7 linked regions of the Canis lupus familiaris genome follow. The protein of the gene in region 1 interacts with the protein of each later gene in a biochemical or structural test. Links are inferred from orthologs where the notes say so. Each region holds a gene or a part of one and is shown in the gene's direction. Other genes may lie near its edges. The genes, in order: SIN3A, SMARCA4, MXD1, SMARCA2, ZBTB16, MECP2 and KLF16.

Region 1 (3,500 bases):
AAAGGTAACTGAATATGTTCTTCGTGCTTTAGTGTGCTTCGTGACAGGTTCGGTGTCCCCTTAAATACGGCCTTCATTTTCAACCTGGTTATTCCATGAGGCCTCTATTTCACCTCAATGCTGGTGGTTGGAAATTAGGTGCAGCATGGGATAGTGGAGCTTCTTGAAGGGTTTCTGTGTAACCAGCAATAGAGAACAAACCTTGAAAGTCCACAGTGGAATGCTCTGTGTGTTTAAGGGAATATTTTAAAATACAGAAAAGAACAGAGCAGAATACAGCCACCCACATTCCTGCCACTCAGTACTAACCATTGTTAACATCTTTGTTTTTTAATAAGAAAAATCTCTTTGTCTTTGTAAAATTGGTGGTTTATTTAAAAAGACTTACTAGCTTGGCATTTTTACCAAGAACATCTTACCTCCTGACAAGCCTTCGGCCTGAGGTGTACAGGGGCTGTTGTACCCACATAAGACCAGGCATCAAGGAGGAGGCCAGACCTAGGGTGAGCCCCAGGCTCCTTTAAGTCCATGGCTCTTTGGACCACATGGAATCCCAGCTAACAGCTGGGTCCTCTTTCAGTTCCACCTGAGACGGGTGGTGCAAACTCTTGTCTGCTGCACAGCTCACAGATGCCCAGATTTTATTGTTCCTCCCCAGACTTTGCTCAAGAGCTGGCACAGGCTTTTTCTCTTCTTGCCATGCCAGCAGCATTTAACTTTGGCTTTGAGACGTAGGATATTCTTCAGTTCTAGTGCTGGTTTTGATTTTACTTTCTTCTACACTTCTAGAGTGTTAAGATCTGTTGTTACCATCAGAAATTCCCAAATTGTGTGCAAAGGAGCATTACTGTGCAAGTTCTTTGCTCTTGGACTTCTGCATTTATATTAGCATAGTGAACATTCTTAGAAGTCCTGCAGCAAAGAGATGTGCTTGTTTTAGCCGGCCAAGAAAGTAAACCCCTTTTTAAGGGTATTGGGTGGAATGATGTTGAGAAATAACTATTCGAGGTAAGATTTCTGACTTTGGGACAAATCACTTCCCCTAAATAAGTCCTGGAGGAGTTATTTCCTCATGTAACAGAGTTCAAGCCTGGATTGAATAACAATATAACAATTTCAGTAACAGTATCCCAAGTTGCCAATAATTTTGACAGACCTGTTATATCTTTTGACTTTTGAAAGAAAGTAAGTCTGACACATTTCCCACTTGGAAACCTTGGAGAGTAGGCGCTGTCATCCCTATTTTCCCAATAAGGAAACAGAGTCTAGTATGGCAGAGCCAGGATTCAAATCCAAAGAGTTTAACTCCCTCCCTTAGAACTCCCACATCCGAATTCCCATGTCTTGTCCTTTCCACACCCCCCACCCCTCACCAGATTGAAGATGAAAGAGGAAGAATGGCGAGAAGCTCAGAGAGGATTTAACAAGGTGTGGAGAGAGCAAAATGAGAAATACTACTTGAAGTCTTTGGACCACCAGGGCATCAACTTTAAACAGAACGACACCAAGGTCCTGAGGTCAAAGAGCTTACTCAACGAGATTGAGAGCATCTATGATGAGGTGAGTGGGAAGTTTCTCTATCTGTGAGAGGACCCCAGTCTTTATGTTCAGCCTGGCTTTGATTCCTGGAAATTATCTTTGTTATATGAAAGAAGACCCTCCGAGACAAGGTGATTCTTGCTTCAAAACTGTCACAGACTTCTATTCCTGATTCTACATTTTAAATCTAAGCCTCACCTTTATTCCTAAACTGCTTTACTAGTTTCCCAGTTTACTATCCTGGCTTTGTCTGTGCCTGCTGCCTCCCTCCTCCACTTGTCTTCCCGTCTGTTTCCCTCAAAATGATACCTTTTCTCATTCACGTAGCTCCTCTCAACTTCCCACAACCAAAACACTTATCATTAATCCCCAGACACTTTCTAATCGTTGTTTATTCAGGATACTTACCAGGAGTGTATATAGTACTGGGAGCCAGGGTACAGAGATGATTAAGAAATTAATCCTGCTTTCTTGGACAAGCTCACAGTCATGGGGTGGGGATAGACACATAAATATAGTATGATTGAGAATTCCTAAAAGTTATGTGATCTTGAGTTTAAAAAAAATGTTTTTAAAAAAAAATAAAAAATAAAAAAATAAAAAAAATAAAAAAAATGTTTTTGGACAGCCCCGGTGGCGCAGCGGTTTAGCGCCGCCTGCAGCCTAGGGCGTGATCCTGGAGACCCGAGATCCAGTCCCATGTCAGGTTCCCTGCATGGAGCCTGCTTCTCCCTCTGCCTGTGTCTCTGCCTGCCTCTCTCTCTCTCTGTCTCTATGAATAAATAAATAAATAATCTTTAAAAATAAAATAAAATAATGTTTTTTATCATGAAAATGTCAAACATATGTGAAAAGGGAGAGAATAGTAAAATGAGCTCTTCTATAAGCTTAAATAAGCATCTCTATTTTGCCAATTGTTTTAAATCTGTCACCTCCCACACCCCTACCCCAGATTCTTCTTCTTCTTCTTCTTTTTTTTTTTTTTTTAAGATTTTATTTATTTATTAATGAGAGACACAGAGAGAGGCAGAGACATTGGTAGAGGGAGAAGTAGGCTCCCCATAGAGAGCCTGATGCGGGACTCGATCCCAGGACCCCAGGATTGCAACCTGAGCCAAAGGCCAGATGCTCAACCACTGAGCTACCCCAGTGGCCCTCACCCAAGATTCTAGACCTCCAGTCGTAGGCCTCTTGTTGTATCCTCCATATCCATAAATACTAATACAGAATTTTATTTTATTTTTTTATTTTTAAAGGTTTTATTTATTTATTCATGAGAAACAGAAAGAGAGAGGCAGAGACACAGAGAGAGAGAGAAGCAGGCTCCATGCAGGGAGCCCGACACGGGACCTGATCCCGGGTCTCCAGGATCATGCCCTGAGCCAAAGGCAGGCAGGCGCTAAACTGCTGAGCCACCCATGCCTCCCCACTAATACAGAATTTTATTTTATTTTTTATTTTATTTTTTTTAAACCTCACACTTCTTTTTTTTTTTTTTTTTTTTTTTTTATGATAGTCACAGAGAGAGAGAGGCAGAGACACAGGCAGAGGGAGAAGCAGGCTCCATGCAGGGAGCCCGATGTGGGACTCGATCCCGGGTCTCCAAGATCACACCCCAGGCCGCAGGCGGCGCCAAACCGCTGCGCCACCGGGGCTGCCCTAATACAGAATTTTAAAAGATAGTCCCAATTTTGTCCAATTGTCCCCAGTAAGTCTTCACAATCTAGAAGAACCACTATTATGGTGTTAAACCACACCTCCCGCATTATCTAGATCTGTTTCTGCAAGTTTCAGATTAGAAAACAGTTGCCACTATGGTTGATAATGGCATGTACTGCTGGTGCCGTCTCGTAGGTCTGTTTGTTGTTGCTGGAGATATGTCATATAATACTTTGCGTCTCTCTCCTATTAGAGGCAAGAGCAGGCTACAGAAGACAATGCTGGTGTACCTATTGGCCCAC
Region 2 (3,500 bases), on another chromosome or scaffold:
GAAATCACTAGTTGCTGGCTGCTTTGCCAAGGGCTTCTGGGTGCCAGGTGCTGGGGAAGGTAACTGGGCACACGGTGCACCAGTATCACTCTAGCCCATATGCCTGAGGCACCTCAGGTTCGCCCCCTGAGCACCTTGCCCTCCCCCGTTTCTTCATTGCGTTGATAACTTGTTCAGGGCTGGCCTCCATGCATGAGGGGCTGTGCCTTGTTCACTCCAATCCCCAGGTGTATCAGTAAATCTTTGTCTAATGGCAGTCTCCAAAGTGCCTCGCCCAGCTGGGATGTGCTCTGGAGCTCCAGCTCCATTTGGACAGCTTTAACATGGCCTTTCCAGATGTCTTCCTGTCCCCCATATTTCCCTACCGTCTCTACTCCATGTACCCAACAGCAGCTCATTGGGCCAGACACTGCCACCCCTTGACTGTTTCTCGCCCTCCCTCATCCCCCATGTCCTTATCTCAGGTCCCCTCCCACATCCCAGAAACCAGTGGCCTTCTCCACACTGTGGACCCTGCCACCTGGTCTACACTTCCTAGCTGGCCTCCTTGCTCTCCCCATCTCTTGTGCAGTCTGTTTCCCCCATGGCAGTTTGAAATCTCTTTTTATAATTAACTTCCATTGCATCTGTTCCCTGGGTTCAAATCTGCCTATGGTGTCCCATTGCCCAGCGAGTATGCACCTTTTTGTTTAGCCCCTGCCCAAGGCTCTGTCCTTGCCTACACCACTTGCCCTGTTCCTCTTTTTCTATTGAGCAAGTTAGTCTCATTTCTGCCCCCTGGGTTTTGCACAGGCTGTGCATGACTCCTTGGCTAATTTAGGACCAGTTGTTGAGGTCACCTGGTCATAGAATCCCTGCCCACCCCCCTTACTTCCAGCCCCCCTCTCAGAGTACTCGGTACTCTTTACAATTAATGTAGATATATATATATATATATATATATATATATATATATATATATATATATATAGATATATATATATTTTTTTTTTTTTTTTTAAGACTTTATTTATTCATGAGAGACACAGAGAGAGAGAGAGAGGCAGAGACACAGGCAGAGAGACAAGCAGGCTCCATGCAGGGAGCCCAACGTGGGACTTGATCTGTGGCCTCCAGGATCACACCCTGGGCTGAAGGTGGCACCAAACCGTTGAGCTACCCGGGCTGCCTTAATGTGGATATTTAATTTTTTTTAACTCCTTTCTGGCCTTTCGTGTTGATAGGTCTGTGAGCTTAATAAGAATAACAAATAGCCCTGTTAGTCTTGTTTAGTGCTAAGGCTCAACATCTGGATCAGTCCCTGGCACATAGTAGGTATTTAATAAATACACATGAAACATCAAGAAGGGGGATTATCTCGTTTGAACTTTAGGCCAAGCCTTTAGGGCTGCTCTGTGGGGTCTCCTCAGGCTGAGTAGAGTCCCAGGGCTGGAGTGAAGAGGCTGGTCCACCTGACTCCCTAGCCAGCTCTGGCTGCTGACGGGTCCTAAGGCAGCTGTACCCTATCAGGTTTGGGTTTGCTGTGCCTGCCCTCCACTTTTTGTATTCTGTGTTGTGGCTGGCTTCCTTTTCTGAGGCATTTCCCCTTCTCATGACCAGGATCTGCTTTCCTTGAGGGATGAATTCTCCTGAGGCTCCACCTTTATTTTTTTTTTACTTTATTTATTTATTTATTCATTCATTCATTCATTCATTCATTCATTCATTTATAAAATATTTATTTACTTATTATTTATGATAGACATAGAGAGAGAGAGAGGCAGAGACACAGGAGGAGGGAGAAGCAGGCTCCATGCCAGGAGCCTGACGTGGGACTCGATCCCGGGACTCCAGGATCGCGCCCTGGGCCAAAGGCAGGCACTAAACCACTGAGCCACCCAGGGATCCCCGAGGCTCCACCTTTAAAGGGAACAGGTGGGCTCCCGTGAATAGTCGAGCTCTCATCACCTTTCCTTTCTTCTGTCTTTGCAACCCAGGCTGCAGGCTCGAATCGCCCACCGAATTCAGGAACTTGAAAACCTTCCCGGGTCCCTGGCCGGGGATTTGCGAACCAAAGCGACCATTGAGCTCAAGGCCCTCAGGCTGCTGAACTTCCAGAGGCAGGTGGGCATAGGCTGGAGGAGAAGACCTTTTCTGCCAACATGGATGCTTGGGTTCCAAGAGCTGCTTTCCAGGCAGTTAAATGTGCCTTGACCATTAAAGGCAGCAGTGCCCTCACATCCTTGTTGGCTGGCTGTCCCCTTCTCCCGTCCATATCCTACATGGTGGTGGGATATCAGCTGTTCCCAGGATGAGTAACTCAGGGTCTTCCCTAAGGTACTAGTTGCCAGTTTGAAACAGGAGACTTTAGTGGGTCTTTTTTTGAGGGTTCTGTACCTTTGAATGACCCACTAGAAATATTTTGTGTGTAGTTGACTGGAGGCAAAGTTGGAGACCTGAAGGTAGGAGAGAACCATCTGCTGGGTTTCCAGAAACAGTCATCTGACCCATGCTTGCGCTGTCCATGAGCACTCATCAGACAGCATTTAGAACAGATCCTTCTGGAAGGAGCAGCATTCTGTGTAGCTTGAGCTATGTGATTATGTGTGACTGACAAAGCTGTGCACATCTTTTCTTCCTTCGTGAAGCTACGACAGGAAGTGGTGGTGTGCATGAGGAGGGACACGGCCCTCGAGACGGCCCTCAATGCCAAGGCCTACAAGCGCAGCAAGCGGCAGTCCTTGCGTGAGGCCCGCATCACCGAGAAGCTGGAGAAGCAGCAGAAGATTGAGCAGGAGCGCAAGCGCCGGCAGAAGCACCAGGTGCGTCCCCGCTCAACCATGAGCCCCAGCCCGTGTGCCTGGGTTGCCAGAGCTTGCACGCTGCTGTGTCTTGTTTGGTTTGCATCTAAGTATGCTATCTTCTATTCATCATAACAGTTATTCTAGGCACTGAGAGAATATGTTAGTGGACGTAACCAAATGGCAGTGGGAGGACAGGCCATAATCACATATGCCATGTTGGGAGGTAACAAGGTGTAAGGAGATGTAAAGCAGGGATGGGGAGTGATGGAGGGGCTGTTTACACAGCATGGTTGGGGGAGTTCTCTGAGAAGGCAGCATCTGAGCAGAGACCTGAGGGAGGGAGCCACAAAGACCCAAGGGCAATGAGCTTTGCAGATTGAGGGGAAGCTGCAAAGGCCCTGGTGGCTGGAATGTGCTGTGTGTTCCATGACCAGCAGGGATCCTATTGTGGCTAGAGTGGAGGGAGCCAGTGAGTGAATGGGATGAGGGAAGGACAGAGAGGTGACAGGCAGAGCATCTGGACTGAGGGGACAGTTGCAGCCTTTGCTTTGAGTAAGGTGGGAGCCATTAGTGTGATCTGACTTACCAATTCTAAGGTCAGTCAGGAAGACCAAATATCTACTGGAGTAGGATCCAGGATGATTTGGTTTGTTTGCTCATTTCTATTTCCCAAAGCTCTCCTCTAGTCAGTATCTAGTACTGGTAGAGTTTAAAAAT
Region 3 (3,970 bases), on another chromosome or scaffold:
TTAACCTACCTAATGGGGTTGCACGGAGGACTAGTGATAATGCACGTGAAACAGTAAAGCTCTTATTTTCATGTATTGGCAACAGTAAACTTTTTTTTTTAAGCTGTATGGAATCTGTCCAAGCTGACCAAGACATTTATTCTTCCTTTTTAAAATGCAGATGTCAGTATATTAACAGGGTAACTTGGGCCTCCAGCCGGCTCTCCTCTCAAAAATCTTGATAGGGCTTAAATCCTTAATTTTTTTAGTTCCATATATTTCTATTGGCACCGCCCCCCCCCCCCACAAACCCCATCCATAGTCTTGAGCAGAGAAAGCTTTTTTTTTTTTTTTTTTTTTTTTTTCTTAAACGTTTTCATCGACAATTAAAAGGGAAGGAAAGACCCTGAACGAGACTGAGGTCAAAGAACGTCGTGATAGGACGCGGGTCATCCCGCAGGTGCAGGGCGCCCGGGGCGGGGGCGGGGGCGGGGGCGCGAGCCACGTGGCGCCCGCGGGGGCCCGGCCCCTCCAGGCCGCCGGCGCCCTCGCTGCGGGGGATGCGCGGCGGCGCCCAGGTCCGCGGCGGCCGGTGAGTCAGCGCCGCGCCCGGGGCAGCCCCGCAGCCGGCGCGGCCCGGGGAGCTCGGGAGCTCGGGAGCTCGGCCGCTCACCGCCTCCCGGGTCCGCCGGGCCGGCGAGGTGACGTCACCGGGGCTGGGCGGTCTCGGCGGCTCCGCCAATGGGAGGCCGGCAAGGCGGCTCGCTGCCCCCGCTCCGGCCAATGGCGGCAAGGCAGAGCGGGGCCGTCGGCGTCGGGCCAATGGGCAGCGGGCAAGGAGCACGAGGCGGAGTCGCGAACCCGGCCGCCAATTGGGAGGAGGGGGCGGAGCCCGGGCCTTGTCAAGCGTGACCAACCAGAGAGAGGAGCGGACCCCAGGGGGCGGGGCCGCGGCGCGTCTCCCCAATCGGGCAAGGCCGGGGGCGGGGCGTTCTTCCGGGCGCCCAATGGGGAGCGCGGCCGGAGCGGGCCTGTCAAGAGCAGGGCCTGGGGGCGGGGGGATGGTGAGTCGGAGATAAACACTCGGCGGCGGTGGCGGCGGCGGCTCTTCCCCGGCTGCTGTCACGGTGTCGGCGGCGCCCAGCGCCCCGGGCCCCTCCCTCCCGGCGAGCGCGGTCGCCCGACAGGCTCTCCCCGCCCTGCTCCGCGGGGCCCGGCGGCGGCGGCGAGCCCGAGCGGTGGGGGTTGGTCCCGCGGCCGCGGCCCCCGGTGCAGAATGGCGGCGGCGGTTCGGATGAACATCCAGATGCTGCTGGAGGCGGCCGACTACCTGGAGCGGCGGGAGAGAGGTGCACGGGGCCGGGGGTCCGCGCCGGGCCGGGGCCGGGGGCTCTGCGGGGCACGGCCGCTGGGGGGGCGGAGGGCGCGACCGCGAGCGCCTCCAACCCTCCGGCTGCCCCACGCGCGGTGCGAGGGGAGGCCGCTCCGCCCGGGGGGGCGGGGGTGCGCGGGGTGCCCGGGGTGCTCGGGGTGCACGGGGTGCTCGGGGTGCACGGGGTGCTCGGGGTGCACGGGGTGCGCTAGGTGCACGGGGTGCTCGGGGTGCCGGGGGTGCGCGGGGTGCCCGGGGTGCTCGGGGTGCGCGGGGTGCCCGGGGTGCTCGGGGTGCCCGGGATGCCGCCCCGCGCAGGGCGCACCAACCTGCGGGACGTCCCCAGCGGGCAGCCCGGGCTCCGCGAGCTGAGCCTCAACAATGAGCAGCTCGCTCGCTCCTTGCACCTGCTCCGGACTGAGGGTGCTCACACAATTTAAGGGAGGAGTTTAAAAAAAAAAAAGAAATCCTTGTTCTAAGAATTCCACCTTGCATCGCTTATTTCTTGACACAGAAATTTCTTTTCATCACATGCTCGTGATGAAAAATAAGGTCTACAAGGAGCTCCTGTGCAGGGGGCTGGGGGGGGGGGGAGTGTTGAAGGTTCCAGGCTCATTCATTAACTGGGTCCTCCGGTTTTCTAGAAGCTGAACATGGTTATGCCTCCATGTTACCCTACAGTAACAAGGACAGAGATGCCTTAAAACGGAGGAACAAATCCAAGAAGAATAACAGCAGTAGCAGGTAATTTCGTAAATCTTTCTCTTTCTCTCTCGGATCACGATACAAACTGCAGAATGGAAGTGGCCTGTGGTGATTATGACCCAGGAAAATGCGTTAAGTGGCGATCAGGATTCAGGAAGGCGCACATGGTCCTAAGCCACTGGAGGAAGCAGCCCTTCTGTTTGGGTTGAGGGGACAGAAAGGAGAAATGGAAAAGCTTTGCGCTTCTTTATGAACTTTTTAAACTTAATTTTTGCTTTTCTTCCCTTTTGGAACAACGACAACAACAACAAAAATCTGTGGAAACTTCCAGTGAGATTGGTAACCGTGACAATATTTTGCCTACAGAAGTTGCAGATTCAGGGCAAGCTTTTTTTTTTTTTTTTTTTTTTTTTTTAAATAATCAAAGAGGCTGGACGTTATCCGTTTCTTTTACTTTTCATAGTGAAGATTGTACAGACACGTTAAAGTATCTGATTTAGCCTTAGGGGTAGGACTTCATATTCGACATGTAAATTAAATGCAATGGTTTATCTCCTCTGTTACATCTACTTATAATGGCAAAGAGGAATGATTGAGGTTGAAACCTCCCTTTTGGTGATGGAGGATTAATATTAAAATATTAATATGCCACGATCCTTTTACGTTTGGCTTATAGTTCTTAAAATCTGTGAATCTCACTGGAAAGCAGGTGGTTAAGGGTCCGTGAAATCACATTAAAGCCCTGAGTACCTATGAGTACTCTATAAATGAGAACTCAATAAACCTACCCCCTTTTTTCCCCCCTCTTTGCCCTTAAAATATAAGTTAGCTAGGAAACCTGTTAGGTCTCTTTACTTATACCTTTCATTCCAGTAAATTAAAGCCCCTCACATTTTCATCACTGGCTTACAATCCTTATTCCTCTCCCGCCGTCATGTATAACTCCCTGCAAGTAACTGTATTTGGTCACCCCCTGTGACGTCACACACACCACTAAAAGCCAGGAGGTCCCACTTAAACCTAAACCCACTTGTTCTTGCTGCTGCTGCTGTTGTCCTTGATTCATCCCATTGTCCTTAGTGTTGCTAGAACCACAGGATGTGAGCAGCACCCATGTGCTGGGCTCTTGCCGAGGAAGGAAGGCACGTGAGGGATGAACCTGGTAATTAACCACCCCACAGTTTTCTCTTTCCCTCCCATCTTCCGCGTTACCTGAAAGTGGTAGCGAATAGATCCGTGTGTGGGTATTAGGGCCTGACTTGTATCCTGCAGTGCTATAAAACAATTTAGCTGTGTTGCATCTTGTTAGTCTTTTTTTTTTTTTTTTTTTTAATTTTTGGAAGAATTTTGAAGCTTGTTGGCGTATTTTTTCCTGAGAAGGTAGCCCAACTGTTGCTTTTATTCCTGTCCGTTCATGGTTTAGGAGGAATTGTCCACCTTACTCGTCAAGGCTTAATCCTCAGCACTTTATTTTTTCCTAAGTTTCGCAGGAAAGTTGGGGGAGGTTCAGTGGTGGGGAGAGGAAGAGCAAAGGGTGTTGAGAGAGAGAAGTAGGCTGGTCCCCGAAGGTGATTAGGAAAGAAAAATAATGATAGCTGAGAATCGCAAGCCACGAAGCAGATTCTCTTTAATATCCAACGTTATTACGGAGAAAATAGCTGTGACTTCTGAGTTTGGGAAGAGCTCTCTTCTGTTAATGGGCTTGGTGTGCTTTCCACGGTTACAGACCAGAGGCTGTCACAGTTTCCCATATTCCTGACTAATAATGAATTAGCGTAGTACCTGCGTGGTGCCGGATCTCCGAGAGGCCGTGATTAAGCCTGGAGATGGCACCAAGCAAACGTGAAGCAAGAGCAGGTTGTTTTGTTTTACTGTGGTCACTTCCTTCATGCCCCGTTGGGAATGACCCTTACC
Region 4 (4,123 bases), on another chromosome or scaffold:
AAATAATAGGCCCCTGATTTAAAATCTCCTAACATTCTTTCACACTTCATAAAACTAAAAATAAAATTCGTCTCAGCAAACACTGACCTATTCCGCCAGCCAAAGAACTGTATTTCAAGGAGAATTGGAACAAGAGGTCTCCAAACTGCCAAGTGCCAGCAGTTTACTGTTTGTAGCCTTAATCGGTCTGCAACGTGAGGTGGGAGAGGACAGACTGTGGGCTGCCCAGGATAAGAGATTTAGTCCCTTTCTTAAATCAAAAGCAGATTCCACGCTTCAGCTGTCCCCTCACCCGCTCGCCCCGCCCCCACGGGGTTGTTTTTCCCTATCTATGTCTTCCTTGTATGCATTTTATTCGAAGATGACAGGTGAGGGAAGCTTCACGTGCCGCATCTGGTCCGCAAAGTAAACAGAGGGGTTAGGGTGGGCTTATTTATTTACAAGGCATTCAGCCTCTCAGCTGTTTTTCCCTCGTTGGCATTTGGAAGCTTGCCGTCCTTTAGAAAAGAGACAGATTTGGCAGGAATGTTCTTTGTGCCCGCCTCCCTTTTTTACGGGGGAGAAAGGGGACAGATTTATAATTACAACCTTGGGTGGGGGGGGGAGGTAACGGGGAGGGGGGTGGCGTAGAAAAAGTTTCAGCCGGCACGACAATGCCTGCTTTTTTTTTTTTTTTTTTTTTCTCTTCTTCTTCTTTTTCTTTCACGGTCCACACTGTGCAGTGCACTAACAGCTCCGGTGCCACTCGGAGCCCTCCCCCGGTCCCCTCCCCTCTTCCCTCTGCAGGCGCGCTCCGGCAGGCGGAGGCACAGTTAAATTCCAGCACCTTCTCCACCTACCCCCAAACTACTACGCGCTATTACTACGGCCGCCCTCCCCACCCCCCACCGCGCGTCGGGGTGGCGGGGCGGGGGTGGGGGGCGCCCGGCGACGTCCCTTCCAAAGCTCCCCCCTCCCGCCCCGAGGTCGACCGCCGGGAGAGGGATGTCGGACGCCCAAGTCCTGCGGGGCTCGCGGCGAGCTCTGCGTCCTGCGCAGTTTCTCCGCTCCAGGCACCAGCACGGCCCGGGAGCCGGCGCCGCGCAGACACACACACACACACACACACACACACACACACACACACGGATCCACGCATACAGTAGAGCCGTCTCGGTGCACATTCTTGCACACCGCCCCCTCCTCCGCCCCCCCCGCCCCGAGCTCCCGGAGTCGCTGAGCGGGCCGAGTGACAGGCGCGTCCCGCCAACCCGCGCCCGGGCGGGCAGGGAGGAGCGGCGCGCGGGGCCAACTGCGGCGCGTCTTCCGGCGCCCGTGGAGGCGGCGAGGGTGGGACGCGGGGCGGAGCCCGACTTTAGGAAGAGGAGGGGATGGCTGTCATCAATGAAGTCATATTCATAATCTAGTCCTCTCTCCCTCTGTTTCTGTACTCTGGGTGACTCAGAGAGGGAAGAGATTCAGCCAGCATACTCCTCGCGAGCAAGGTAAATATAACTTACAACTCCTTTCTCCTCTCCCCCCCCCCCCCCGCCCATCCCTCCCTCCCTCCGGCCTCCGGGGCTGCAGCCGCCGCGCAAACCCCTCCGGCACCGCGCCGCCTTCGCCGGGGAGTCTTCATTATTATCCTAATTATTATTTATTGTGCATGCACGGAGACCAAAACAAACAGGCGGGCCAACCGCCGCCACCGCCACCACCACCACCACAACAAAAAAGCCCGCCTCCTCCCCGCGGGCCTCAGGTGGAATGCTCTAACGACAGCTCCCGGGCGGCCGTGGAAGAAACGGGAAAGTTTCAACCGAACCTTGCTGTTCTAATAATAACAGTAATAATTACTACTTCGGGGAGGCGAGGGGCGGGTGGGGGGGATCCCGACACAGCACAGCCTTGACCCCAGGTAGGCAGTCAGCGATGCGCTCGCTGCCAACTCAAGGTTGCAACACACACACACACACACACACACACACACACACTCCGCAAGGTTGCAATCCCCCCCCCCCCATCCCCTCGAGGCTGGGGTAGGGCGCCGGCTGGAGGACCCGGGAGGAGGATGGAAAGGCGACAGTTCACCCCGAGCCGTCCTCCCCGGAAGAGTTGGAAGGGGCGCGGGAGAGGAGGGCGAGGAGCCCGGGCTGGCGGCGGGGCGCCAACGATCGCGGCTGCCACCCGCCTCCCGGGGACTTGTTTAAAGGGCTCCGGTTGCCGAGACGCGAGCCGATCGCGGCGGGAGGAGCCGAGGCTGGCGCGCCCGGGAGGCGGCAGCCACCGCCGCGGGGCCGGTGCGTGCAGGATCGGAGGTGTCACCTCCACTTTGCGCGTTCCCTCGGGCGGGGAGGAGGACGCTGACCGGTAGGCAGGCCCTTTTTAGGCAGAGGGGTTCCCGGGGCGCTGCGCCCGGGGCTCTGCGGACGTGCCCGCCTCTGGTACCTGGTACCTGGCGGCCGCGCGGGCTCGGCTGTTGAAGTTCGGGGTGTCCGGCCCGGGCCGCGCCGCCGGCGGGGAGGGAGGAGGCCCCAGGGAAGGAGGTCGGAGGTGCCCGCCGGGCTCGGTTGCGCTGCCCTCCCCCTTCCCCGGGTTTGTTTTCGTTGGCTCGGCGTCTTTCCCCCCAGCCTGAGCCGCGGGAACCTCGGGCGTGGGTCGCCCGCGATCGTCGGGGTGCTAGGGGCTCGCCGGGGCCCGGGAGAGCCACGGCGGCCGCGGGCCGGGAGGCCATGATCCGGATAATCCTCTCTGCCTGACTGTCACAAACAGGACCCGCGCGCACCCGGCCAGCAGTGGTGGCGTTCGCCGGAGAAGGGGAAGGGCTGCGAGGGGGTGGGGGGTGGGGGGTGGGGGGAGGAGGAGGGCGGGGGTGGGGAGGGCGGGAGGCGGGGAGACCGGGTGGGAGCCTCCTCCCCACGATGACACGCACCCCTTCCTTCTCGCTCCCTGCTTTCGAGTTTGCTTTATTCCCATCCCAACCTGATTTACCCCTTCCTCTGCTCTCCCCCTCCATCCGGCCGTCTTCCCTCCTCCCGTTTGCGTTGCAAAACAGGGCCATGCCATCTGCAAAGGTGTCGCGATGCACTTCCCCAAATAACCGGTCCGGCGTGCCCGTCCCCAGGCGCCCTCCGGCTGCGGGCGCACCCCGAGCCCGGTGCTCCGGGTGCCCCGCACCAGGCCTCGCAGCCTGGGCGCAGTTGCAGCGCGCGGGGCGGGGCGCAGCAGTGCGGGCTCCCGGGGACACCCGTGCCCTGGCCCCGGCGCCCGGCCGGTTTCCGGTACACGCGGGGAAATCGCCTCCTGCCAGCGTCTTCGCGCGCGCCCCTGCCTCCGCCGCCTGGATTGCATTATTATTTTTATCCGGGTTGCAGCTTTGCGGCGGATCCTGGTGAGCGCAGGGCAGGCCGGCCTGCTGGGGGTGGGGGCTGGGGTGGGGAGGGAGGGAAGTTGGACGTGGATCAGGCAGGAAAAAAAAAAAAAAAAAAAAAGTTTGGCAGGGCGGCTAAGTAGGGAGGGGGTGGGAGGGGGCGGCGAGCTCCCGCGGCTCGCGCCTCCGCGCCCTCGGGGCCGGCCGAGTGTGTCTGCGCGTGAGTGTGCGTGTGTGCTGCGCGCGGGGCCGGGCCGGTGCCCCCGTCGCGGGTAGGGGCGCGGGCGGCCGCGGGGAGCCCGGGGAGCGCCAGGCGAGGTTCGGCGGCGGGGGCGGGCGGGGGTGGCGTGCGCGTGTGCCTGCGAGTGTGAGTGTGAGTGTGCGCGCGCGAGCGGCAGAGAATCAGGAAGTCACAGCGGCGAAGCGCACACAGACATGTTTGATCGCCGTGACATGACGCGCGCGAGGGAGGAAGCGGCGGCGGCGGCGGCGGCGGCGGCGGCGGCGGCGGGGGCCGGGCCGCGGGCTCGGGCGCGGGCCTAGGGCTCGGGCCGGGAGCCCCCTCGGGCCGTGCGGCCGCCGCAGGCTCAGCGAGCCCCGCGCCTCTTTTTGTTCCGCGTCCCCCAGGTAAGGAGCCTGCGCCGGCGCCGCCCGCCGAGCGCGGAGCTTGCCAGCGCTCTCCCTGCCGGCCCCCGCCGGGCTCCCGGCTCGCCTTTCCTGCAAAGTCAGGCCGGCGGGGGCAGCGGGCTCCTCGCCCTGCGATCGATCGCGTGG
Region 5 (4,278 bases), on another chromosome or scaffold:
ATAGCTCTGGCTATAAATGGTGCCAGTTTTGGTGGGGGAGCTGCTGCTGCTTTATCTGGGCCCAATAAACCTTATCAAACTGCTGTGCAGCCAGCCTTCAGCGCTAAGTGGAAACGCTTGGAGCCCAATGCTGGCTCTCAGCCCACAGCCTCGCCTGCCTTCCTCCTTTTTGTTACCTTCTCCACCTCTTAAATTCAGGCATTAATCTCTCTTTAACACTTACTAACAAGGGCTGGGCTTTTTAATGGGCAGGGTTTATGAAGCAAGGGGAGATTTTCACATCGAGTGAATATGGCATGGGGGGGGGGGCCCAGGGCCATGGAGGGATTGTTCCTGTTCTCCCATTGTTTCCAAGGCTTCTCTCTTTCTCTGATTTGAGGATTAATAGGAGATTAAGATCAAGGGTTAATTGTGTGCTTCTCCTGCTTCTGCACTTAGGAGGGGCTGGTAGGTGGATGTGGATGGCAGGGCAGCAACCTTCGCACAGGCACCATCTCCGGGCAGAGACTCTACCAAGTTCAAAGATGGTTTCTTCTTTCCCATTGAGGCTCTAGCAGAGTCTTTCTTCTCTTCTTCTATCCCTCTCCTCCTGCTCTCCTGGCCAACCAGTGCTTTCTTAACTTTCTTTAAATGCCTTCCTCTTGAAGATAGCATAGACCTTAGCTAGGTAAACAGTCCATAACCGAGCTGGCTCTCTATTGTTTTTTTTTTTTTTTTAAGATTTTATTTATTTATTCATGAGAGACACACAGAGAGAGGCAGAGACACAGGCAGAGGGAGAAGCAGGCTCCATGCAGGGAGCCCGATGCGGGACTCGATCCCCGGTCTCCAGGATCATGCCCTGGGCTGAAGGCGGCGCTAAACTGCTGAGCTAAACTGCTGAGCCACCCGGGCTGCCCTGGCTCTCTATTGTTAATCAGAATTGATACCCGGGGACCAGACTGTTCCTTCCAGGGATGTGTTAGGTGTTGCTGTGTTCAGGGCTATCAGAGGGTCATTGGCTCCCTCCCTCCACTTTGAAGCGTCCTTCTCTGCCCTCTTCTGTCTTCTGAACAGAAGGCTGAAGCCCTTTCCCCGCTGGGAGACAGGACCATGCTTGCAGGAATGGAGCTGCCTGTCCCTGGGACTATTCCCCCTTTGCCTGTTCTTGTGATCCTGAGCACTTTGCACTCTGGCCTTCCGGGGCCCAGAAGCAGATTTTTGCCTCTAGTTGGTGTCTGCCACCTTCCATGACCCTACAGTTCTTGGGGCCTGACTCTAGATCTGGGGCAGTACCGGAGACAAACACCGTGATTATATGTGAGTCCTGAGCAAATCTTTGACTCACCAGTGTGTCAGGGACAGAATGTGGGGATTCAGGTCTCCCTGAGTGAAGCCCCTGCGAGGCTAAGACCGCATGACCTCCAGGGCTGACTGTCCGGAGACCCAGGGAGGGCGCTCTCCACCACCAGGCTCACCCCAACGATCCCAGACGTTAGCCAGCCACCAAGGCTGATGTTCAAGAGAGAGCTTCCACCTCCTGCCTGCGCCCTACCTCCGCTAAGCTCCAGGGAAAGGGGGTTAGAAGGGGTCTCTCCGCTGCCCACCGCCCGAGGAAGGGTAGTTTCCTCTGGCTTCTCTACCCTGAGGTTAGTGATCTCAACTCCCCCCCCTCCCCTTGGGGTGGAGAGGCCCGCCGAGAGGAAGAGGCTCTTTTGGGGGCTCTGGAGCTTTTTCCAGCTTTCACTCGCCCCCTGAAGGCTTTGCGCTGAGCAGGACGCGGTTCTCGGGATCCGTCTCCAACCAGGTTCCCGGGGTGGGGTGGGGTGGGGTGGGGTGGGGTTAGGGGTGGGAGGGCAAGGAAGGGAGCAGAGCCCAGGGGATGCTCAAGACTCCGGGGAGAGAAAAGTTGCTCTCGGCCTCCCGGGATCCCGGCAGCTAGCACGGGGGAGGGGTCTCCCTTGGGCGGCTGATCCCCGTGGCCCTCCGGCACCAGCTCCCCAGGGCCTGGGAACCGCGCCCGGAGGCGTCTCGCGATCCGGATGCCCGGCGCCTGGAGGCACAGAAGGCCTGGGCTCGGGCCGCGGAAGGGACCTCCGGCCACCGATGTCGCGGTCCCGGGGAGGCGGCCCCGAGCCCGGAGCAAAGTGAAAGGCGAGATGACACACACGGGATTGGGGCAAACACTGGAGCCGGGGACGAAACTCCGCGCCCGGAGGAAAGGAAAAAAGCCTGGGGTGGAAGGTGGGAGCTGCCCCCCCCCCCCCAAGGGTCCCGAGTCCCGGGCACTGCTCTCCGCGAGCTCCCTCCTCCCTCTCCGCCCGGGCGGTGAGCGGTGAGCGGTGAGCGGTGAGCGGTGAGCGCGGCCGCCGGCGCCCCAGCAGCAGCTAGATGTCAGGCGAAGCCCGGAGCGCGGAGCGCGGGGAGGGGAGGGGAGGGGAAGGGAGGGGAGGGGAGGGTGGGGCGGGGAGCGCGCGCGGGCTCGGCCAGTCCGGGGGGGTGGGGTGGGGTGGGCGGGCTGAGGCCGGGGACGGCGCGGGAGGGGGGAGGGAAGGGGGGCCGCTGTGGGCAGCGCGCCGGGCTCGGCCGCCAGCACTAAAGATGGAGAGGCGCCGGGGCCTCGCAGGGGAGGGGGCTCGGCGTTGACGTGGGACGCGGCGGAGGCGCCGCAGCCGGTGGTGATTTGCTAACCTCGCAGCAGAGAGGAGTTGAGGGCGATGAGAGCGGGTACTGCGAACTGCCGGGCGCTGCCGCCGCTGCCGCCGTGAGACGAGAGCAACAGTTCCCAGCAACAGCCGTCCCCGACGCGGCACACGCCCCCGAGCGCGCACACCCACCCGCGGCGCCCGGCTCGGCGGCGGTGAGTGAGGGCCGGCGGGGGCGCACCGCTCGCCGGGGGCGCGCGCCGGGGCGCCCCGGGGCCGGCGAGGTCGGGGGGCGCGCTCCCTCCGGCCGCTCGGCCGCGGGCTGTGCGCCTCGCTCGGCTCGTTCCCTTCCTGCTGCGGCCGCCGCGGGCTGGGGGTCGGCTGCGGGGGGGCCCGGCTGTCAGCTTGGGCGCAGCTGCCTCCCCAGGGCGGGAGGTGGGGGCCGAGCGGCCCGCGGGCGCGGAGGGCGCGGGCGGAGGGTCGGAGAGCCGGAGGCTTTGTACCCGCGGGGCGGCGGGGCGGCGGGAGCCGGAGCCGGAGCCGGAGCCCGAGCCCGAGCCGGAGCCCGAGCCCGAGCCGGAGCCGGAGCCGGCGGGCGCTCCCCGGTACGCGGCCCGTGCGCGGGCGCGCAGGGTTGTGGTCTGTTTGTGTTTATTTGCCGGCCGGCGGCGAGGCTAGAATCCGGGGCTCCGAGGAGCGGACCTGGGGGCGGAGGGGAGCGGGGCTCCGATCCACTTGGGCTTGCTTTCTCTTTGAAAAACGTGGTGGGGTCTGTTTTCCTCCGGACGGGGCTTGACCCCCACCCGTCTCCGGGGCGGGGGAGGGGCGGCCGTGGCGGGGCTCCGGAGGGTCTTCGGGGCTCTCGGCGGGGCCGGCCGTGGCGCGGGCGCTGGCGGTGCGCTCCGGGCGGCGCTCGGGGGTGCCCGGGCTCTGCACCTGATGCGTCGGGACGCGTCCCCCAGGCCGGGCGCCCGCAGCTCCCCGCGCGGCCCCCCGAAGGCTCCCGCACGCGCTCGAGGTGCGCTCGGCGGCGCCCCCGGACCCCTGGCGCGCACGGACGCGCCCGCAGCGGTGCCCTCGCGCTCCCCGGGGCGCTCGCCCAGTGCCGCGCCGGGCAGCCTGCCCGCGGCCGCCGGGGGTCACGGCCCTGGGCCGGCGAGGGAGGGCCGGCGGCTCCCTGCTCGCCTTTCCTTCCCCGAGTCGCTGTCGGGCTTTTGTGCTTCCCCCGGCGCGGGGCGGGTCCGCCTCCTCGCGCCCGCTCGCGCCCAGCGTCCAGCCCGCCCGGACTCTGCCTCGCGCCCGGCTCCCTTCGCTTCTCCTCTCGCCCAACGCGGCTCCTTTTCTTCCTGCGGTCTGGCTCCCCGGGAAAAGTTGCTTCCCCAAGTTTGCCGAACTCGCTTCCAAGTCTCCGTGGGGGCGGCTGGGACTGGGGTGCGCGCGCGCGAGGTCGATCCCCAGAGCCGGAGCGGGTCGGCGCCGGCGTCCCCCCGCCCGCGGGGCCGGGCGCTGCAGCCGAGGGGGGTGTCTGGGTGAGCCGAGGGTGTCCCGCGGGACCCAGGGCGCCCGCACCGCGGAGGGACTTCGGGGGGCCCGGCTTCCATTCCTTCTGTGGCCCCTCCTCGTTCCCCGCAGCCCCTCGGGCTGACGGCAAGCG
Region 6 (4,168 bases), on another chromosome or scaffold:
TCCTGATACTAACCCACCTTTGGCAGCTTACTGACATCATTTGAGTCTGGTTTCCAGTACATACCACAGTGCCTCCATTGGAGTCTCCACAGTGTGAACAAGGGGGTTGCTTGGGGTAGACTGGCCATGAGGCAGTGACCAGTGCTGACACGAGCCACATGGGACAGGGCAGCTCTAGGGCTTAGATATCAAGGGCAGGAATAGTCTCATTCTCTTCTAGACTGAATTGCTGAGAGACCAGCAGATGGCTGGTTCCAAGCCTCCCCAGCGTGGGTGGTGTTCCTGCCCTCTTAGCCCTGCTTTAAGAACACCACGGGCGGACTGATTCCAGGGTCCAGGGCCTTTCCAGTGCACACAAGGAAGGGACCCTACCAGGTGGAGCCAAAATAGCAGGAAGGAGCTGCTCTGTCAGTGTGAAAGCATAAGGAGGTGCCCACCCTGGAGTGGGGAGGGTGCTCTTCTGTGCCTTTGTCCTTGCTCTCCCCTTCTACTGGTTGAGTGTAAGGCAGTCATGGCTTGTAAAGGAATGTCTGATAATAAAAGTTTAGCAGACCTGGGGTGCCTTCTCCTCACTCCAGAACCCTGGGCAGCAGTTTCTGGTTGCCCGAGTTGGCTAGTGTTTATATGGTGCTTTTGTGACTTTTCTTCCTCTGGGGTGTTGGTGCCTATTACCAAGATGAGGAAACTAAGGCACGGAATGTTGAGGTCACTTGCTCAGGTCCATGTTTAGAAGTTGCCAAGTCAGAATTTGAGCTCAGGTTGGGCTGGCTCCAAACCTGTGTGTTTTCTCCACAGCACTGTGCTGTGCCTTATCTCCCAAGGGGGTAGTGCTAGGCTCTGCCACCATCAGTAAGTTGCATCGTGCTCCCTGACTGTTTTATCAAGCACACATTTGAGAAAACTTACAATACAGAAGCTATACTAACACCCAAGCCAGGTCTTTCGTGAAGAGGAGCCCTGGCCACATTTTGGGTGGGCAGCTCCCTCTCCAGTAGTCAAGGGCCTCTTGTCAGCCATGAAGTCTAGAGACTGTTGGGCACAGCTTGTAAAGTGGCCTCTTCCGAGGCAGTACACTGAGAAGCCACCTAGTGTTTCTACCCAGAAAAATGCCGCTCATTCTCCTGCTTGTTAGGAGTGGGACTTGGGACAGAAGGACTCAGAGTGGTCACAGTGCAGGTAGGGTAAAGCCCAAAGCCCCCAAAGAAATCTTTGAAGGAGAAAGGCATCAGGATCTGGGTGAGCATCGGTGGGGCAGCCCTGTCTCTCAGAGCCCTGCCTGTGCTGGGGTGCCCCAAACCCGCCATTGCTTACTTTTTCTACAAATCGGTGTGTTCCCTGTGATACTTACATACTTATTTAACACTTCAGGGAAGAAAAGTCAGAAGACCAGGATCTCCAGGGCCTCAAGGACAAACCCCTGAAATTTAAAAAGGTGAAGAAAGAGAAGAAAGAAGACAAAGAGGGCAAGCATGAGCCCCTGCAGCCACCGGCTCACCACTCTGCTGAACCAGCAGAGGCAGGCAAAGCGGAGACCTCAGAAGGGTCAGGCTCAGCCCCAGCTGTCCCGGAAGCTTCTGCCTCCCCCAAACAGCGACGCTCTATCATTCGTGACCGGGGACCCATGTATGACGACCCCACTCTGCCTGAAGGTTGGACCCGAAAGCTTAAACAAAGGAAATCTGGCCGCTCCGCTGGGAAGTATGATGTGTATTTGATCAAGTAAGTAAGGGCAACTCCTGTCTCTACAAAGCAGGGAAGGCTGGGTGGGCAGGAGGCTGGGGCCAGGTGCTGAGAAACTAATGGGGATCCCTTAGAGTGGCAGCTCTTTTTTTACTCGATGATCAGGAAAATGTGTGTATATCACCCATCTTGGGCTGGGGGTGGCTTCAATAATGAACACCACTTGCAGACCCCTCCAGGTATGTTTCAAATGACTGTGTACAGAGTTCACCGCCCTGAGTGTGACTTTACCCCACCAGCCCTTGAGGTCTTGTCTGGAGATGGCATCGCAGTAGGGCCTACCCAGGGCCACAGTGAGGACACAAGAAAGAGAGGTCGCCTGAGAAACATTGAGGACACAAGGCCCTGCCCAGGCTGGTCCCAGAGGCCACAGGACCTGCCATGTGTAGTGGCCTGTGCTTGGAAGGCAAGCAGGGCTCTCTGGGTTCCTCTCATTTCCCAGCTGGGAAACATCCAGCTGATGGGCTCTTCTCAGAACCTGTTAAACAACTCTTCTTTCTGTCAGTCATTCCGTGACTTGGCTGCATGACCCAGAAGAAGTAGGAGTTCAGAGGGCTCAGTCTACTCTCTGAATCATGTTGGGAAAGGTGAGCTCTCTGACAGGGCCTCTGGGGACACATTGGTGTCTCTTCATGTGCCTTTCCAACTGTCATTGGTGCATTTGTCCAGCTTTGAGCTGGTCATTGGGCATTTTCTATTGAAACAGTGTAATTCAGGGATCCCTGGGTGGCGCAGCGGTTTGGCGCCTGCCTTTGGCAGAGGGCGCGATCTTGGAGACCCGGGATCGAATCCCACGTTGGGCTCTCAGTGCATGGAGCCTGCTTCTCCCTCTGCCTATGTCTCTGCCTCTCTCTCTCTCTCTGTGTGACTATCATAAATAAATAAAAATTTAAAAAAAAAAAAAAAAAAAAAAAAAAAAAAGAAACAGTGTAATTCCCAAGCCAGAGCTTCAGAGAAGGACTGAATAAATACATTTCAGTTCTGGCCCTTAGATGATCCAGAAAAGATAAACAGTTTATTTGCAGACATCCTCATTTGATCGCAACAACTCTGAGAAGGGTGAACAAAAAGCATTATCCTACTGACAGATGAGGAAACCGATCCCAGAGAGGCTAAGCAGCATGCCCAGGTTCAGACAGAGAGGAGTGCTTTACTTACTGACTGGGCCCAGGCACCAACCAGCAGAATGCCTGCCCCTCAGCCTTCTGGCTCAAGCGGGTCTCCAGGCCAGGCCCCTTTGGGAGCCAGAGGAGGGGCCTTGGTGGTAGGCGGATCCTCAGGGGCAATAGCTGCAGAGCAGCTGACACCCAGCTGTTCTTGTCACTGGAGCACACCCTGTGGGTGCTCTCCGCCGCCCAGCAACCCAGTTGCTTTGTGTGTGACCATGCCCCTCTAATTTCAGCCCATTTTGGCTTTTCTCTAATGTGACTCTCATTGAATAGTATCATCAGGCAGGTCAATTGCAGAACGTCCTGTCACAGAATTCAGCACATTCTTCCTGCCCCATCTTTGTACATTAGCGGGGAAGCTTCTAATCGTTCTTTGTGTCTCTCCATTTGTTCCCACAGTCCCCAGGGAAAAGCCTTTCGCTCTAAAGTGGAGTTGATTGCGTACTTCGAAAAGGTAGGCGACACCTCCCTGGACCCTAATGATTTTGACTTCACGGTAACTGGGAGAGGGAGCCCCTCCCGGCGAGAGCAGAAACCACCTAAGAAGCCCAAATCTCCCAAAGCTCCAGGAACTGGCAGAGGTCGGGGACGCCCCAAAGGGAGCGGCACTGCGAGACCCAAGGCAGCAACATCAGAGGGTGTGCAGGTGAAAAGGGTCCTGGAGAAAAGTCCCGGGAAGCTGCTCGTCAAGATGCCTTTTCAAGCTTCGCCCGGGAGCAAGGCTGAAGGGGGCGGGGCCACCACGTCAGCCCAGGTCATGGTTATCAAACGCCCAGGCCGGAAGCGAAAAGCCGAGGCTGACCCCCAGGCCATTCCCAAGAAGCGGGGCCGAAAGCCAGGCAGTGTGGTGGCAGCTGCCGCCGCAGAGGCCAAAAAGAAAGCCGTGAAGGAGTCTTCCATCCGGTCCGTGCAGGAGACTGTGCTCCCCATCAAGAAGCGCAAGACTCGGGAGACGGTCAGCATTGAGGTGAAGGAGGTGGTGAAGCCCCTGCTGGTGTCCACCCTCGGCGAGAAGAGTGGAAAGGGACTGAAGACCTGCAAGAGCCCCGGACGGAAAAGCAAGGAGAGCAGCCCGAAGGGGCGCAGCAGCAGCGCCTCCTCACCCCCCAAGAAGGAGCACCACCACCATCACCACCACTCAGAGCCCCCGAAGGCACCCGCGCCGCTGCTTCCGCCCCCGCCCCCTCCCCCACCTGAGCCCCAGAGCTCCGAGGACCCCGCCAGCCCCCCTGAGCCCCAGGACTTGAGCAGCGGCGTCT
Region 7 (4,101 bases), on another chromosome or scaffold:
CCGCAGGCACGCAGAGGCAGCTCCGCTCCCGCTCCCCTCCCGGGAGGCCGCCCGCCACCGCCCGGCCCCCACCGGCGGCCTAGGAAGGGGCGGGGCCGCGGTCGCCGCGGAGAGGGCCACTCTGTCGTCCCACTTCCGCGTGACCCCCGCCCCCCACGGCGGGCTTGGCCGCCCCGGCCGTCGGCGCCCTCGCCACTGAACCACCCGGCCCGGACGTCCCCAGGGCCTCCCGAGTCCAGGCGGCGGGGCGCGATGTCCCCAGCGCCGGGTCCTGGGCAGGGCCGGAAGGCTCCGCCTCGCCGAGGCGCCCCGACCCCACCCGCTCCTCGCCCCGACCCCCGGGCCCCGCTCCGCCTCCGGCCGACACCGGCCCCCCCTACTCCTCGGGGGGTGCGCACAAATGACCCCCAAGGGGGCGCAGGAAGAGGAACGAGCGCAGGTTCTCCGGCGCCGGCTGGGCGGGGCGCCCCAGTCCTCTCGGGCCCAGCCGCGGGCTCCGGGGAGGCGCACGGGGCTCCCGCAGACGGGGGCGAGGGGGCGAGGGGGCAAGGGGCGCGCGGCCAGGCAGGGCCCGGGGCCGGGGAGAGGAGAGGGGGAAGGGTCGCGCACGTGGCCGGGGGGCGGGGCTGGCCGCTTCCGCACCCCCACCCGGCCACGTGGGGCGCGGAGCCCTCCCCCATCCAGAGCGGGGGCGCGCCCCGGGCCAGGGTGGAAGCGTCCGGGGAAGGGGCGGGCTCCCGCCGGCCGCGCGCCCTGGCGTGGGGTGGGCGCGCCCGCGAGGGGGCGGGGCGGCGCCGAGAAGGGAGGGCCGCGCCGGGAGGGCGGGAGGGGCGTGCCGGGAGGGGCGGGGCGCGCCCGGGAGGGAGGGGCGCACCGGGCACGGGCGGAGCTTGCCGGCGTGGGGAGGGGGTGCTCCGAGGAGCCCACGGGGGCGCGCGCCGCAGGCCCCAAAGGCGGGGTCTCGGGCTGGGGGCCCCGCGTGGGGAGGGCGCGCTCCGGGAAGCAGGCGGGGACGCGCTCCGGGCGGAGTGGGCGCGACGGGGGCGGCTCCTGCGGCCCAGATCCCGCCCCCGGCGGCCGCGCGCGGCGGGCAGGGCGGCGGAGGGCGCGCCGGGCGGGGGGCGTGGCCGTGCGCCCCGAGGGGGCGTCCTCCGGGCGGGGCGGGCCGCGGCCGCCCCCGCGGGCTCCGGTGCGTCAGGGCGCGTCAGGCGGGGCGGGGCGGGCCGAGCGCGGGCGGCGGCGGCGGCGGCGCGCGCCGGCCTCCTCCTCCTCCTCCTCCTCCTCCGCCTCCCGCACTCGAGCAGCCGCCGCCGGCCGGACGGGCACCGCTCCCGCCGCCTCCTCTCTGCCCGCTCGCCCGCGCCGCGCGCCCTTGCCCGGCATGTCGGCGGCCGTGGCGTGCGTGGATTACTTCGCTGCCGACGTGCTCATGGCCATCTCCTCGGGCGCCGTGGTGCACCGCGGGCGGCCGGGCCCCGAGGGCGCGGGCCCCGCCGCCGGCTTGGAGGTGCGCGCGCCGCGCCGCGAGGCCGCCCCGCCCGGGCCCCCGGGCCCGCCGCCGCCGCCCCCCGCCGCCTCCGGCCCGGGCCCCGCCGCCGCCGCCGCCGCCGCCGCCGCCGCGCCCCACCTGCTGGCCGCCAGCATCCTGGCCGACCTGCGCAGCGGGCCCGGCGCCGCCCCGGGGGGCGCCTCGCCCGCCTCCTCGTCCTCGGCCGCCTCGTCCCCGTCCTCTGGCCGCGCCCCCGGCGCCGCGCCCGCCGCCGCCAAGAGCCACCGCTGCCCCTTCCCGGGCTGCGCCAAGGCGTACTACAAGTCCTCGCACCTCAAGTCGCACCTGCGGACGCACACAGGTGAGCCCCGGCGCCCCGGCCCGCGCGCGCGGCCCCCCGCGCCCCGCCCCCTCCGGGACCCCCAAACTGCGTGGCGCGTGGGGGGCGGGGAGGGGGGCGCGCCCGGGCCGCCGCCGCGCCGCCGGGAGGGCGGGGCCTCGGTGGGTGGGGCGCGCGCAGGGGGCGTGGCGGCCACGCGGTCGGGCGGCGCGCGGTTGGCGGGCGGGACGGTGGGGCCGCGGGGCGCGCGGCGCGGCGGGGTCCGTGGGCGGCCCCGGGGCGCCGGGCCGTCCCCTCCCCCGCGTCCCCGTTTCTCTCTTCTGTCCTGGCGCGTTCGTGTCTGCGGAGGGGACACCGCGGCGGGGGCGCGCAGCTCGCGGGTTGCGCCGTCTCCCGGCCCCTGCCTCGGTTTCCCCGTCCGTGGAGCGGGGGAGGAGCCGCGAGGCCGCCTCCGGGGTGGCAGCGAGGATCCGCCCCGGCAGGCAGCAGAGCGCCTGGAGCGGGGGCCGGGCTGGGGGCGCTCCCCGCGATTCTTGTTTTTAATAAGGCGGGGGGCGGGGCTGGGAGTGCGCGCCGGGGCGGGGGGGGGGGCGGCCTCCAGGGAGTCAGGTCCTCGCGGTAGGTGGCAGGGAGGATTCAGCGACCCTTGTCATCCTCCTTGTTCTCCTGCGGGTGCCCCATCGTGCACCCTGAGGGTTTGGGTGGGGGCTCGGGGAAGGTGGGCCTCGGTGCCTGGCCAGGGCGCGAGGATTGAGGGGGGTCCTGCCCTCCGGGAAGGGCAGGGGAGCAGGGGTGGGCGTCTGGGCACGGGCTGGGAGGATGCACTCGGGTTCCAGCTCTGCCGCTTCCAGGCCCGTGACCAACTGCGGGCCTCAGTGTTTTCATCTGTGTAAAGGGTGTGTGGGCTCTGCCTTCCGAGGGTGGCTGCGGGGGTCGTGAGCAGCCCTGGTGCTGTGGATGCTCCAGCTGTATAGAGGGTTCAAGAAAGCAGGCTGGCCCTAGGGTGTGGTGGGGACGCAGCCTGGGCAGCCCCAGGCCCCTTGCACGGCCTCCCATGCCAGGCAGGCAACCTCGGGCTGCGCGCCTGTCTCCTGGGCTACCCTCATCCCTGTCCACGGGGCCTAGATGCTCTGCCCCACTTGTGGACACACGAGAGGGCAGCACAGCCAGGGCCGACGTGGGGTGGCATCACCGTGTCCTCCTGGAGCCCCCGTCTTCCCTGAGCCGCAGTGAGGTGTGTGTGTCTGTGGGAAGGATGTCTGGAGTCCCTGAGATGGGGGGGGGCTCTCTCTGGGGCTCGGGGGAGATATTCCTTCCTGGGAGGGGGGGCACTGGGGTCTGAGCAGGGCCCCGCTGGCCCGTCTGAGTGCAGGGGTGCCGCGGTGGGAGGCTGGCCGGAGAGGGACCGCAACCCTCCTGTCGTCCCGCATCTGTCCTGTCACCAGTCCTCGCTAGTTGTCGGATGGTGAGCCACCCCCCCGACCCCCACCACCACCACCCCCCACCCCACCCCCGGTGTCATGATTTGTTTTTCCCTCTTCTGGGTCCTGTCCAAGTTTCTGGTGGGCAGAAGGGGGCGGCCAGGCCACCTCCCAGCTCGAATCCCGGGAGGCGTTTCTGCGGGGTGTCCCTGAATCCTGCGGACCCTTGTGGGTCCAGCAGTGGGGGCGCCTCTCTCCACGTTGCCGCTCATGTTTTAAATGAGGAATTGAGGTTCTTCAGCCGGGCCGGGGGTGTCCGGGGGGGCGCCATCCCTGCTGGGTCCCTAGTCCCCGGGGAGCCGTGGCTCTGGGGTCCTGTGTGTGAGCCCCCTTTGTGCTGTGGCGGGGGAACCCAGAGGGCGCAGCTCCCGGCCGGCTGCTGCCAGGGAGGTTGGAAGTCCTGACGTGGGCGCCCTGGGCGCTCTTTCCCGAGGGTTCCAGGCACCCGTGTTCTTGAGACCGTGCGCTCAGCGTCTCCGCCACCCCCAGGGCTATGAGGCCTAAAGGCCCTTTTCGGCGTTTTTGGTCCTGGTAGAGGGGACGGTGCCCTTCTGCCCGGCTGGGCGCCACGTCCCAAGGCCAGCGTGGTGCAGCCCACTGCCAGGGACGGGCCTGGCGACAGATTGATGAGGAACGGTGACCTGAGGTCAGCTGGGTCACCCGCAGAGGGCCCTGGGGAGAGCGCCCTGCCTTCCCTTCTTGCCTGAGGACCCCTCTTTGTGAAGGGAACCTGTCCAGCCTCGCCCCGTTCTACAGAGGAGCAGACCGAGGCGTGGAGCAGGGCCTGGCCA

The links.
Region 2: the proteins of SIN3A (region 1) and SMARCA4 form a complex in vitro, tested with the Homo sapiens proteins (2 studies listed by BioGRID). The link is inferred for Canis lupus familiaris from reciprocal best matches to the Homo sapiens genes SIN3A and SMARCA4.
Region 3: the proteins of SIN3A (region 1) and MXD1 form a complex in vitro, tested with the Homo sapiens proteins (4 studies listed by BioGRID, with this or other methods). The link is inferred for Canis lupus familiaris from reciprocal best matches to the Homo sapiens genes SIN3A and MXD1.
Region 4: the proteins of SIN3A (region 1) and SMARCA2 form a complex in vitro, tested with the Homo sapiens proteins (2 studies listed by BioGRID). The link is inferred for Canis lupus familiaris from reciprocal best matches to the Homo sapiens genes SIN3A and SMARCA2.
Region 5: the proteins of SIN3A (region 1) and ZBTB16 form a complex in vitro, tested with the Homo sapiens proteins (3 studies listed by BioGRID). The link is inferred for Canis lupus familiaris from reciprocal best matches to the Homo sapiens genes SIN3A and ZBTB16.
Region 6: the proteins of SIN3A (region 1) and MECP2 form a complex in vitro, tested with the Homo sapiens proteins (2 studies listed by BioGRID). The link is inferred for Canis lupus familiaris from reciprocal best matches to the Homo sapiens genes SIN3A and MECP2.
Region 7: the proteins of SIN3A (region 1) and KLF16 form a complex in vitro, tested with the Homo sapiens proteins (2 studies listed by BioGRID). The link is inferred for Canis lupus familiaris from reciprocal best matches to the Homo sapiens genes SIN3A and KLF16.

Annotation. Positions count from the first base shown.
Region 1 is NC_049251.1:38,697,407-38,700,906, reverse strand, and holds part of SIN3A (paired amphipathic helix protein Sin3a), read left to right. Parts: coding exon 1-4; intron 5-1,376; coding exon 1,377-1,560; intron 1,561-3,451; coding exon 3,452-3,500. UniProt on the Homo sapiens protein: Acts as a transcriptional repressor. Corepressor for REST. Interacts with MXI1 to repress MYC responsive genes and antagonize MYC oncogenic activities. Also interacts with MXD1-MAX heterodimers to repress transcription by tethering SIN3A to DNA.
Region 2 is NC_049241.1:50,641,208-50,644,707, reverse strand, and holds part of SMARCA4 (transcription activator BRG1), read left to right. Parts: intron 1-1,976; coding exon 1,977-2,103; intron 2,104-2,627; coding exon 2,628-2,801; intron 2,802-3,500. UniProt on the Homo sapiens protein: ATPase involved in transcriptional activation and repression of select genes by chromatin remodeling (alteration of DNA-nucleosome topology).
Region 3 is NC_049231.1:69,850,593-69,854,562, forward strand, and holds the start of MXD1 (max dimerization protein 1), read left to right. Parts: upstream 1-1,170; 5' UTR 1,171-1,255; coding exon 1,256-1,328; intron 1,329-1,995; coding exon 1,996-2,095; intron 2,096-3,970. UniProt on the Homo sapiens protein: Component of a transcriptional repressor complex together with MAX. In complex with MAX binds to the core DNA sequence 5'-CAC[GA]TG-3'. Antagonizes MYC transcriptional activity by competing with MYC for MAX binding.
Region 4 is NC_049222.1:91,389,160-91,393,282, forward strand, and holds the start of SMARCA2 (probable global transcription activator SNF2L2), read left to right. Parts: upstream 1-1,323; 5' UTR 1,324-1,484; intron 1,485-2,213; exon of another isoform or gene 2,214-2,349; intron 2,350-3,237; exon of another isoform or gene 3,238-3,370; intron 3,371-3,955; exon of another isoform or gene 3,956-3,976; intron 3,977-4,123. UniProt on the Homo sapiens protein: ATPase involved in transcriptional activation and repression of select genes by chromatin remodeling (alteration of DNA-nucleosome topology).
Region 5 is NC_049226.1:19,302,364-19,306,641, reverse strand, and holds the start of ZBTB16 (zinc finger and BTB domain-containing protein 16), read left to right. Parts: upstream 1-1,478; 5' UTR 1,479-1,628; intron 1,629-2,560; exon of another isoform or gene 2,561-2,839; intron 2,840-4,278. UniProt on the Homo sapiens protein: Acts as a transcriptional repressor. Transcriptional repression may be mediated through recruitment of histone deacetylases to target promoters. May play a role in myeloid maturation and in the development and/or maintenance of other differentiated tissues.
Region 6 is NC_049260.1:123,060,762-123,064,929, reverse strand, and holds the start of MECP2 (methyl-CpG-binding protein 2), read left to right. Parts: upstream 1-1,368; 5' UTR 1,369-1,621; coding exon 1,622-1,719; intron 1,720-3,308; coding exon 3,309-4,168. UniProt on the Homo sapiens protein: Chromosomal protein that binds to methylated DNA. It can bind specifically to a single methyl-CpG pair. It is not influenced by sequences flanking the methyl-CpGs.
Region 7 is NC_049241.1:57,569,840-57,573,940, forward strand, and holds the start of KLF16 (Krueppel-like factor 16), read left to right. Parts: upstream 1-1,301; 5' UTR 1,302-1,381; coding exon 1,382-1,850; intron 1,851-4,101. UniProt on the Homo sapiens protein: Transcription factor that binds GC and GT boxes and displaces Sp1 and Sp3 from these sequences. Modulates dopaminergic transmission in the brain.